Rattus norvegicus: one gene and its partners. The protein of the gene in region 2 interacts with the protein of the main gene of each other region in a biochemical or structural test. Links are inferred from orthologs where the notes say so. Each region holds a gene or a part of one and is shown on either strand. Other genes may lie near its edges. The genes, in order: Bcl11b, Nr2f1 and Ahr.

What was found.
Region 1: the proteins of Nr2f1 (region 2) and Bcl11b form a complex in vitro, tested with the Homo sapiens proteins (2 studies listed by BioGRID). The link is inferred for Rattus norvegicus from reciprocal best matches to the Homo sapiens genes NR2F1 and BCL11B.
Region 3: the proteins of Nr2f1 (region 2) and Ahr form a complex in vitro, tested with the Homo sapiens proteins (2 studies listed by BioGRID). The link is inferred for Rattus norvegicus from reciprocal best matches to the Homo sapiens genes NR2F1 and AHR.

The regions. Positions count from the first base shown.
Region 1 is NC_086024.1:132,688,392-132,692,135, forward strand, and holds the start of Bcl11b (B-cell lymphoma/leukemia 11B), read right to left. Parts: upstream 2,712-3,744; coding exon 2,654-2,711; intron 1-2,653. UniProt on the Homo sapiens protein: Key regulator of both differentiation and survival of T-lymphocytes during thymocyte development in mammals.
Region 2 is NC_086020.1:9,783,180-9,786,923, reverse strand, and holds the start of Nr2f1 (COUP transcription factor 1), read left to right. Parts: upstream 1-999; 5' UTR 1,000-1,267; coding exon 1,268-1,721; intron 1,722-1,936; exon of another isoform or gene 1,937-3,438; coding exon of another isoform or gene 3,439-3,451; intron 3,452-3,744. UniProt on the Homo sapiens protein: Coup (chicken ovalbumin upstream promoter) transcription factor binds to the ovalbumin promoter and, in conjunction with another protein (S300-II) stimulates initiation of transcription. Binds to both direct repeats and palindromes of the 5'-AGGTCA-3' motif.
Region 3 is NC_086024.1:57,996,576-58,000,319, forward strand, and holds the start of Ahr (aryl hydrocarbon receptor), read right to left. Parts: upstream 2,327-3,744; 5' UTR 2,299-2,326; coding exon 2,237-2,298; intron 1-2,236. UniProt on the Homo sapiens protein: Ligand-activated transcription factor that enables cells to adapt to changing conditions by sensing compounds from the environment, diet, microbiome and cellular metabolism, and which plays important roles in development, immunity and cancer.

The DNA of each region.
Region 1 (3,744 bases), on a different chromosome or scaffold from region 2:
GATGCTATTTTGGGGCCTTTCTGGTTTCCTGGACTATCAGTGATTCGAAGTTGCATCATCACCGAAGAACCTTAAGCTACTGCCCCACAGGCCCAAGGCTGCCACCCAACTGAAAAAAAAAAAAAAAAAAAAAAAAAAAAAAAAAAAAAAAAAAAAAAAACCGATCGGCCACGTCTTAGATGGTTTCCTTCAGATCTAAAATCTCACATGGGAGTGAGTGTCTGTAGGGGCTGAGACAACACCTGCTCGGCTGCCCAGGCCTTTTGCAATCAGAGCTCCTGTATCCCATGCTTCATAACTAGTCACAATCCCCAGGCTACACTGTATCTCCTGCATCCCGGTCTTGCTACCTCTGGGGTGATACTGCACGGACAGAAAAGCCAGCTGCTTTTCTGAACACCTTTTGAACCGCTCTCCCTGCTTAACCCCCTGAAACAATGCCCAGGCTCCCAGGGTCCCCAGAAGGCAGGTAGAACTGCTCAGCAGCCTGGCCTGCTGCCCCCTTTTCTCTCCAGCACTCTTGCCTTCTCTGCCTCTGCAGAAGCATCAGCTGGCTTTTCCCAGCTGCTCAGAGCAAGGGTGAGACAGAGAACCAAATGCATGGAAGGATGTCACATGAAGCACCCCTCACCCCCAGGCCCAGCTGCCACCGGTCCCTCTGGTCAGAGCTTGCTCAGGATGTCCCAGGGATGCCCAGAGAAGGACAGCAAATCTATCTGCCTTTCCCCTAATACTGCAAATGACCCAGTGTCAGGGGCTACCAGCTTCTCCCCTTCCCACAGACCCCCCCCCTCAAAAACAATTCTTGCAATTATACAGGGGATGGGGGTGGCAGCAAACTGCCTCTTGGACAAATTAGGGTCTGGAAGTGTGGATGTTTTAACAACCACTTCACCTAAAGGTAGGAAGTGGACTGTAAAATAACCCATGGCTGCAGCATGCTAAAGGAAGAAAATAAATGTCAAGTGGTCAAAAGGATCTTGATGAGACCAGGCTCAAATTTGGCTGCAAAACATTTTGTTTTAAATGCAACCAGCAAGTCTCCTTTGACATTACAACATTGAAAAAAATAAAGGAAACTTCCCTTCCCTTCTACCCGTAAGAGACATCCCTCTCCCAAGAACCTCACTTTAATATATATGCCCCCCGAGATAATAATAATAATAATAATAATAATAATAATAATAATAATAAACGCACGAATTCTTACTAACGTGTCTGCGGTAACAAAGGAGAGATGGGAACAGCAATAGCTTCGAGCAGATGGCTCCTGTGCTGGGTTGGAGGGGAGGGGAGAGCCCCTTTATATATTTATTTATTTATTTAAATTCTTTAAAATATAACATAAATATTCGGCTCTCGACTGCAGGGCAGTCAGTCCTCAGCGGCGGCCCGTCATTCACAGGCTTCTCCAGCTCCAGCGCGGGGAGCCCGGCCCCAACGCAGTGAGGTGAGCGAAGAATTGCAAGATTACAACCTGCCTGAGGTCTCGATGGCACCCAGAGGAAATTTTATTTCTATTGCAATAAAAAAAATAATAAATAAAAAGCAACCGCAACCAAAAGAGAAAAAAAAAAAACCCGCGGGGAGAGACTCGCGCTGGCTGCGGCCAGGGCGTCCCAGAGCTCTGCAAGCCGACCTCGCTGGTGGCAGCGCCGGGACCCGGCGGGTTCCGGGAGAACTGTGTACCTGCGCGGCTCGCGCTGGCGTTTTCTTTTCTAAACGAACCCAGCTGGGGCGTTGGAAGCCGCTGAGTGTCTGCCCTGCTGCCTGACTTTGCCAGCCCCGCCACTTGCTTGAAATCCGGCGGATTTGCACTGCGACCTGCCTTGTTTATTTAGATGGGGAAGATGAAAGATACAGAGATAGAGAGATGGATAAGAGGATGATAGGTATTTTCTCCCCTTCCTTTTTTTTTTCTCCTCTTCATTTTTACTGTTACAAGAGCATCCCTCTTTTCCCACTCATGACTCTTTTTTTTAACTCGTGGCGGGGATTTTTTTTCACCAACCCAAAACCTCCCCCCACACCTTTTTTTTTTTTTTGAGTTGGGGGGGAAAGAAGACAAGACCGTCCCAGGAGACGGAGGTGGGGAAATGAGGAGGGGGTGCTCCAGCCCAGCAAACAGCTGCGCAGCTGGATTCTTTTGCAAATAGCGAGAGGAGGGGAGGGGACGGCGGCTTCGGAATCCTAGCAGCGGCGCGGTCGGCGCCCTGCCTGGCGGGGCGCAGCGACCGGGAACCCGAAGCCCGCGGCTACCCCTTTACCCTGCGGGTCCTCGGGTCCAGGGCTCACTCGGGGCTCCGTCCGCCCGCTTCTCCGAGCGCGGACCCACGCGCTCGCCAACTTTTCCCGGTTCCCCCTCCCCCTCCGCTCCCCGGCCCCCTCCCCCTCCTCTCCAAACCCCGCCACCAGCGCCGCCGCCGCCACACACGCCGCTTGGAGGGCCGAGCGTCCAGCCGGGCTCGGCGCGCACAGCCGCCTGCAAGCCCGCGCACCCCCTCCCCGGCCCGGAGCCCGCGGCGGCTGCCCCCGGCTGCAGAGAAACTTTCCCAGAGCCCCACGCTCGGCCTCTGAGCCCGGTTTGGTGTCCCCAGCCCCGGGCGCCCGGAGCCCCAGCCGCCGGCCCCTCGCGCGTGCGGCGGACACTTACGCGTGATGAGTTCCCTCTGGGACAAGTGCTGCGGGTTGCCCTGTTTGCGGCGGGACATTGCCCCGGCATCTATTCTGGCATCGCCCGGAAAGCTGCACAGATGCGGGCCGGGGAGGGGGTCTGAGCCGCCGCCGCCGCCGCCGCGCCTCCTCCTCCGCCCGGGTTGGTGCCTCTGCCCTTCCTCTCTTCCTCCTCTTCTTCTTCTTCTTCGTCTTTATTTTGCTTTTTCTTCTGGGCTGTGTTTTTGTTTTTGTTTTTGCAAAAAGAAAAAAGAAAAAGCCAGGAAGATGGCTTGCTCTAAAATAGAGAAAGGCTAAAATAAATTATAAAGCTGCTGTTGCTCGCCGCGGGCTGGCCGGTTTCTTTAAAAATATATTCTTTTGGAGGAAAAATATCTCTCACACTTCTTCAAAGTGCTTGGCCTCTTAGACTTGTAAATGTCTTCTTGAAGTTACGCCGGGTTTTGCACCGGCCTCTGACACTTTTCTTTCGGGGTCTGGTAGGTGGAACGCGCACTTCCACCCAAGGGGAGGGGGGAGGAAAAATGCAAACAAATTTCAAAAAAGCAAAAAAAAAAAAAAAGGCAAAGAAAACTTGGGGACTTGTCTCGTACCCCCTCACCCCGCCCCCTCAAAAAACCCGAAAGCAATGAAAAACTGCCTTGGTTCGGTTCTTTCTGGGTTTTCTGCGCGCTGCCTGCTTTTTTTCTTTCTCGGAGGCTGACCCCTCCGAGGCTCTGGGGGACTCCGGGAGCGGCTCCTTCCCGGGTCACCTGGCAGGCTGGCGCCGGCCGGAGGGGCTGCGGGTCCCCGCGTGCGCTCCCCAGCGCTGCCCGGCGCCGCCGGCCCAGGGGGAGCGGGACTGCGGGGCGGCTCGCCCAATGCGCCCGGGTCGGTGCGGGCGTGGACGGGAGCTATAGATTGCAACGTGAAGATGGCGGAGTCCGGGTTCTCCGGGAGCTCTCGGTCTCTCTGTGGCTGGGGCTGCCTCTGTACAATGGGATAAAATTCAAGTTCAAGTGCGGACGTGACGTTTAATCTGCTCTAGAGACAAAAAGACCCAGAGAGTCGGAGCACTGGGGGCGACTAGCG
Region 2 (3,744 bases):
TCTCTCGCTTTCTCTTTTTCCTTTTTTTCTCAAGTATTTTCTTCTGATTTTTATTTTTTTTCCTATTTCGCTGTGAATTCGTCGCTGGCGTGAATTATCTCGTATTTTTCTCCCCCTTCCGTCACCTCCCGAAAGAAGAAGGCAGAGAGAACCCGGCGCCACCCGCACAACAAAAAGAGCAAAGTGTGTGATCTTCCTCGCCGGCTGCCTCCCGCTCTCCAGAGCTGCCTTCCTGAATGGCTGGCTGCGTCCGGCCCTGGACCTGGCCCCCCGACACCCGAGCGCCCTGATCGTCGCCGGCAGCTTCGCCCTGCGTCCTGCTCGACTCTCCCAGCTCCCCGCACTCTTGAAACCGGGCGAGGGCTCCCGCCGGGACAGCGGCGGAGGCGCGGGCAGCCCCGGCCTCGGCTCGCGCTCGGGCTGCGGCCCCGACTCCAGCTCGGACTCCCGCCCGGGCCCCAGCTCCTCCAGCGGCGCTCGCAGCGGCGGCCGAGGCTGCTCCTCCGGCGGCGCCTGCAGCCGCGACCTCCTCCTCCTCCTCCTCCGCCGCCGCCGCCGCCGCCGCCCTCGCCGCTTCCTCTATGTCGGCTCAGCCCGCGCTCTGCGCGTAGCCCCAGCGGCCGGCCGGCCGGCGGGCGGGCGGGCGGGCGCCGGGCGCGAGTGAGAGAGTGTGTGTGCGAGTGTGTGTGTGCGCGGGTGTGCGGGCGAGGCGGAGGGCGAGTGTGTGCGCGCGCCGTGGCCCATGCCCGCCGCCCCCGGCGCTGCGCCCCGCGCCGCTCCCGGCTGCCGCCTGTGCCATTTCTGATTTTGCAACTTGGGGAAGAAGAAAAAAGCGAGAGAAGGGAGCTCGCTCGCCGGGGGGTGGGGAGGGGGGAGAGAGAGCGCGGCCCCCCCAGGAACGGAGCGCGGGGGGGAGCGGGCGAGGGGAGCAGGGGTGTTGGGGGGGAGCCTGAGAGCCTGGGGGGGCTGCAAAAAGAGAGAAAGAAAACAGCAGGAACCACAACAAAACGCCAGCAGGGCGGGCGGGCGCGCAGCAGCAGCGGGGCGGCCGAGGCAGTAACGGCGGCGGCGGCGGCGGCGGCGGCGGCTCAGGCAGAGGCCGGTGCCCGGCTCGGGCTTGGCTCCGGCGACCCCGGGGTGCCCGGTGGGCCCCCCGCCCCCTCCCCCTCCCCCCTTCCCCTTCCCCTTCCCCTCCCAGCGCGCCCGCGCGCCCCGCGGCCCTCGGCGAGCAGCTCGGCTCCCCCCAGCGCTCCCCGGGCCCAAAGATATGGCAATGGTAGTTAGCAGCTGGCGAGATCCGCAGGACGACGTGGCCGGGGGCAACCCCGGCGGCCCCAACCCCGCAGCGCAGGCAGCCCGCGGCGGCGGCGGCGGCGAGCAACAGCAGGCGGGCTCCGGCGCGCCGCACACGCCGCAGACCCCGGGCCAGCCCGGAGCGCCCGCCACCCCCGGCACGGCGGGGGACAAGGGCCAGGGCCCGCCGGGTTCGGGCCAGAGCCAGCAGCACATCGAGTGCGTGGTGTGCGGGGACAAGTCGAGCGGCAAGCACTACGGCCAATTCACCTGCGAGGGCTGCAAAAGTTTCTTCAAGAGGAGCGTCCGCAGGAACTTAACTTACACATGCCGTGCCAACAGGAACTGTCCCATCGACCAGCACCACCGCAACCAGTGCCAATACTGCCGCCTCAAGAAGTGCCTCAAAGTGGGCATGAGGCGGGAAGGTGAATATTTCTTCTCTGCTTCTCTCCCTGCGCTTCGCCCGCCTCCCTGCTCTTTCTTTCTCTCTCGCCTTGGTGGCTATGGCTGTGGGGATGGGGCTCCTGTGGTCCCAGCCGGTCCGGCTTCCCATTCCTCGCTGCTTTCCTCCCCCAGCGTCCCCCACCCCACCCCCCCAGCTCGCTGCTGCTGCCTCCCCCTCCCGGCCTGCGCTCCTCTCCCGGGCTCCTCCACCCCTCCCGCTGCCTGCTCAAGATTGTGTCCCTGGGATCCAGAGCTGTAGCTTAAAAATCCCTCCCTTCCTCCGTTGGATGTGCTCCGTGTGTGTTTCGCTCCCGCTTGTGTGTGAGGATGCTAGGGGCTGTGCTGGCATGAACTTGGGAGGGGTGCTGATTTTCCGCAGAAAACCGTTTCTCTCTGTGTGTGTTTTTGGTTTTGTTTTTTCGTTTTTCCCATTCCACTTTCTCCTCCGCCTCATCGTATCTTTTATTTATAATGGGAGAGGACTGGGGCTGGAGGACCCTGATCCTTAGATTCATTGCTGCCACCATCCTTTAGGAAGCTTAGCTTGGAAAAAGAGGAGTGAGATTTATTGCACTTGTAGGTCTAATTAGGGGGAAGGGGGGCTTCTGGCCTGTTCACTGGCTCCCTCTCCTCTTCAGGGACCTGGGGCCGCCTCCTCCCGAGCTGTGGCCTTGTTTTCACCCCTATACTTTGAAAGGAAAGTTTGTGACTGAACCCTGCTTTTATAGTAGTGTCATTTTTAAAGCTTGATACTCGTTTTATTTCTTCATCAAACTCCACCCTCTGTTTAAATACTGCATACAAATTACAATTTACAACGGCATTTACCGATCCTTCTGATTTGGCTATAATGCATAAGCTGCAGCTGGCATGAGCTTCTGCATCGATGTGTGGGTTGTTTTTTTTTTTTTTAAGCACAACTTTTGATGTTGGATTTGGATATACTTCATGTTCATGTGGCATGAGATGGAACACTTTTTTTACAAATATATTTAGTGGTTTATAGTTAAAGTTTATCTCCTGACAATCATTAAAGATATAGTCAAATTAGTGAACCAGTCAATTTCGAAGAATGTAGATTACTTCTCCTTGTAATGGCTTAAAATTATATTTTATATACCACAAGAAAAGAAATTGGATTCCTTCAGATCTCAAGGAAGAGGCAAATATGATGACTTCATTTCTAGCTCCAGGGAGATTCTGCAGGCATCTGGGGGGGGGGGGGCTTTGAATTGTGCTCTCATTTAATTGAAAAATAACTGCCAAGTTCAAAACTATAATTAGAAAAAGTATTCTAACCATTGTGTTTCAAGAGCGTAAACTGCACTGCAACTCTTGTTGGAAGTAGAACCAAAGAAAATAGAGCAGAGCCTGAGACAGGACAGCTCTGTGGACATGGACCTATCTCTACTAATTTGTTGGGGGGTGGCAGTTCAGTAGCCCTAACTTTCCCTAGCTTTGTCTTTGTTTACATGGCAATTTAAAATGCTGGCACTGTTGAAGTAAAACATACACATAAAAAAAAAACTTTGGTCAGCTTTAAGAACTCAAAGCATGCTTACGTTTTGCATGCAGATGGTTAATGAATCCAGTGTTTTTGCAGTTGCAAGCTCGTGCATTCACTGGGCAAAGCTGGCTGCAGGTTGCAGTGGCATCGCACAGGACAGACATTAATTATAGTTCCTACTTTTTTCAATAATGTTTGGCTACTGTAAGTTCAACTTTCTCTTGAAATTTTTACATGTTCTGTTGCTTTTAATAGTGAGAACTTTGTATGGGGTAGTCGGGAGGAGGGAAGGTGGGAGGAGGTGTGTATGATGTTTCTCGGGGTCCAAACTTGTAAGTGCTTAGTAAGATATGTAACTTGTATCTCTTTTAAAGATAATTCTGTAGCACTTTAGAGATTGTGGGAACATTTTATACACTTGCTGCATGTTTGCAAGTGAAGAGTGCACTAAGGTTTGTGGTTGGTACCACAGCCTTTCTCAGGTTTCACTTAAAAAA
Region 3 (3,744 bases), on a different chromosome or scaffold from region 2:
AAGAAGGAAACAGTTGTTCACAGGGCAGTGCATATGAAACACTGTACGGGGATGAAATTGAACACATTTCAAACTCACTTCCTGCTCCCGATAACTGTCATGGTGAGACCAGCCACCAGAGGGAGCTTATTTTGTATCTAGATCCTCATTTGAAGAATGAACAAGCTTCAAGTTGAAATCATGTCACCTACTTTACTCCAAATTTTCATGGAACTGTCTAAATATGACATTATTTAACACTGTAGAATTACAGTGCACATGCTCCTTATAAAACAGCTCTCCCTTGAAGGGTTCGAGTTAATTAGAAAGCACGGTCAACACATCTTTGTGTTTTTCCTAAAATTGAGGTATTTGGGGGCCTCACTGCATAGAAGTAGTTTAACTTAAAGACATATTAAAGCTCAATGATCTAATTGTTAAGGATGAACTTTGATTATGTGCATTATAAAGTTCACTATTTTCTACTCGGAGGGAAAAATGTAAGTACTTTCACTAGAGGATCTAAGTGCTAGCACTAAAAGTCTTCGACAAAGCAAGTGGTGACCTTTAAGGCCTATGAAGGGTTAGAGTTGATTAAAGGGGCTCAGTACAGAAGTCAAGAACCATGTAAAATAAAATATAAGTTAGTGGGGACAACAGTTCAGTTGTGAGAAATTATCAAACACAAATAGTGGCAATACAGTTAAAGGTATCTTAATCTAAGGGGAAGTGTTGCAGTGTTAAAAAGGAAGCTCTTTATATTGACTGGAAACTAAAGATATCCAACGTTATAAAGAGCAACCTCTGAGATGGTTACCTTTGTATGAAAAGCAGTTTACATCCTTAAGAAACACAGAGAAAATCAGTTATTTAAAAAACTCACGGGGAGCTTCAGACTTTACGCCCTTGTACATAACATCTGAGTTTTTTTCATCTCAGGCTAAGTTAGTATTACTATTAACAAAAACAGGGAACAAGCACTTAAAAGCCTCTGAAACTTTAACCATCAGGAACAAAGTCAAATTGAGCAAACATGGTTTAATAAAAAGAAACCATTTTACAAAATAACAAGGCGCTGAAAGCCGGGGTCCAAAGAACTGCCGAGGTGGAAAACTGCTGAGTCAACGATATTTGCGTCCTTTAAAGTGTACCATAAAATTTCCAAATTCTGATCAGACTATTTATACACAAGCATCTCCTCTTAAAATTAATTTTTAAGTCAAGATTTGAAGAACTATGACAGTTGAAATTCTTAACGGAATTAAAATCCACAAATAACCCAAGTTCTAAGTTAGTAACTAGTTGTAAACAGTGTATAAATCTTAAGATCTTATTTTTCTGGTTCACTTGGTGATGGCTGTCAGGTTTCAAGCAAAATGCACACTACTGATTACCTGAAAGTGTTCCTAAAATAATTTATTTAAAAAAATAAGAAATGGTGAGTTGTGGAAACTCCAAGATAATTATGAATGAATGCATCAATACACCCAACTCCTAAATGGAACCCTGTCTCATGCTCGGATCTCTTTTCTGTGAAAAAAAATGTTTATGAATATCTCCCATCTCACAGAAATAGCCCATGGAAACAAAGACCAAAGTCTGTAATCACTGTTAGAATCGGCAAAACTTTATAAGCAAGGGGAGATGAATTACAGGTAGACAGTAGAAATAACTTAGAAGTCAGTCCAGTTCTTTTTCCTCTCCTTAATTTTTAAAAAATTTTATATACCCTACAAGCACTCCAAAAGGAGGAAGAAAGTGTCACTAAAGAGTGGCTATGAATGCCACCAAGCCGCCCGAGCACCTGTCCAAGGCACACTCCAACCTGCTACCAACTCTGCGCCTATTCTGAGCCCGGCAAAATCGCTGCCTAGAGGTAAAGGAAAGAGCAAAACAGAAAGCTAGACGCTAAGAACAGAAAGAAATTCCCTCAGAGGCCAGGACCCCTCCTTCAAGACGGCACGTGTTTAGCTCTGGCCAACTTCTCACCTCAGTGAGCTGTCCCCTAAAGCTCACCACGGTGGAGATCTAGAGTGGAGGATTTCCAGGCAGGCTTAACTAACTAAGCCAGAGAGGCACTAGGTAGGTCAGAGCTGTCAACGAATCAGGGCCAGGGAAGGTCGCTGAGCTGCGAAGGTGCAGGCGCCCGAAAGCAGGGACGAATTTTTTAATGCATTGGTTGAGCCCCTGCTCCCGGATGGCTGCACGCGTGGGGACCTCCCGCACCCGCAGAGCGCGCCTGCCCGCCGTCACTCACGTTTTCTGCACCGGCTTGCGCCGCTTGCGGCTGGCATAGGTGATGTTGGCGCCGCTGCTCATGGTGCCCGCGCCCTGCCCGCTCCACCTGCGTCCCGGAGGCGGCGCCCTGCCCGCGCTGCGCCCAGGTGAGCCGCCGCCACCGAGGGCGGGACCGACCGCGACGCGCAGGTGCGGGCGACAGAGGGGACGCGGGGCTGCCCGGGCTAGCCGCGGAGGAGAAACCCGCAAGCCAGCCGCGCCCGGTCCCGAGGGTCAGGAGGAGCCGTAGTGCTCAAGGGCTTCCCTGCTCAGGCGATAAGCCCGCGCTGCTCAAAGCCCAGCAAGGCTGCCACCCCAGAGTCTACCAGTCCGTCCTCCGGGTCGCTCCGGGCTGAACCTCTCCGGGACACGCGTGGGGCACCGAGCGTCGAGGGGACCGCACACACGCGCTGCCGCCCGCCGCGAGCCCGCTCCTCCGCTGTCGCGACCCCGCGCAGCTCCGCCCCGGGCTCCAGCCCCGCCCCACCTGCTCAGCCCCGCCCCTCACGGTTCCCAGGAGGGCCCCACCCTCCTCGCAGCACGTGATGACGCAGGACGTAGTGTCTCCCTACATTTCTTCCAGCCAGAGGTTCTGGAGGCGGGGTGGTGTTCAACTAGTACCTGTTTTCCAGCCTGGAAGGGAGTGTGAGGCCACATTATGTCTGGGCAAATTCCTTGTACCCAGACATCAAGATTTATTAGGCAAAGAGCTTAGCTCCTCCTAGAGTTGAGTCATCTAAGTTTTGACAAAGATTTTACATTGAGCTGGTTGATAAATACTGTGACTGAAGAGCACTCTAAGGGGAAAGCTACAGAAGCCCTACAGAGTTGAGCCTTGAAGGCCAGGAGTTTTATAATACCTTTCCCTCCCACATTTACTGTATCTACAGAAGGTAATAAAATATCTTTTTCTTCATCAGACTTCAGGAAGATGTGTAGGAAAGAAGCATAGGGGTGCTGAGAAATGGGAGGATAGGTACTAAGACTATGACCAGAGAGCTGAGCCTTTGTTGGTAGTCCGGTAGATCTGGTGGTAGGAAAAAAAAATGTAATGGATACTCAGAAAACCAAGAAACCAATCATCAAGCCTTAATAAAGAAGTTGGGTCTCATTCTGTAGGCGATGGGACACTTTTAAAGCCTGAATTTGGAAGATACTATTCCTGCTATCTCGGGAAAGTCACTGTGGGAAGAGGTGGCAATTCTGTTACTCGGGAGCAAAGTGGATGAAGAGAGAGTCGCTGGGAAGTTGATGAAGTCTGAAGCCGTGCAGGTGCAAGTCCGATGGCACAGCAATAGGGATGAGGGAGAAGAAGGCAGAGATAGTAAAGGAGGGAAGTTGGCTGTTAACCACCAAAGAATAGAGGCAGAGCAGTGCATTTTGGGAGTCAGGGCGGTGATGCTGGACATGGTGGAGACGCAGATGAAGTTGGGTGCGTTTTATAGATTTGAGAGAGATTAGAAGAGAGGATGCATGGCAGCAAGGAAA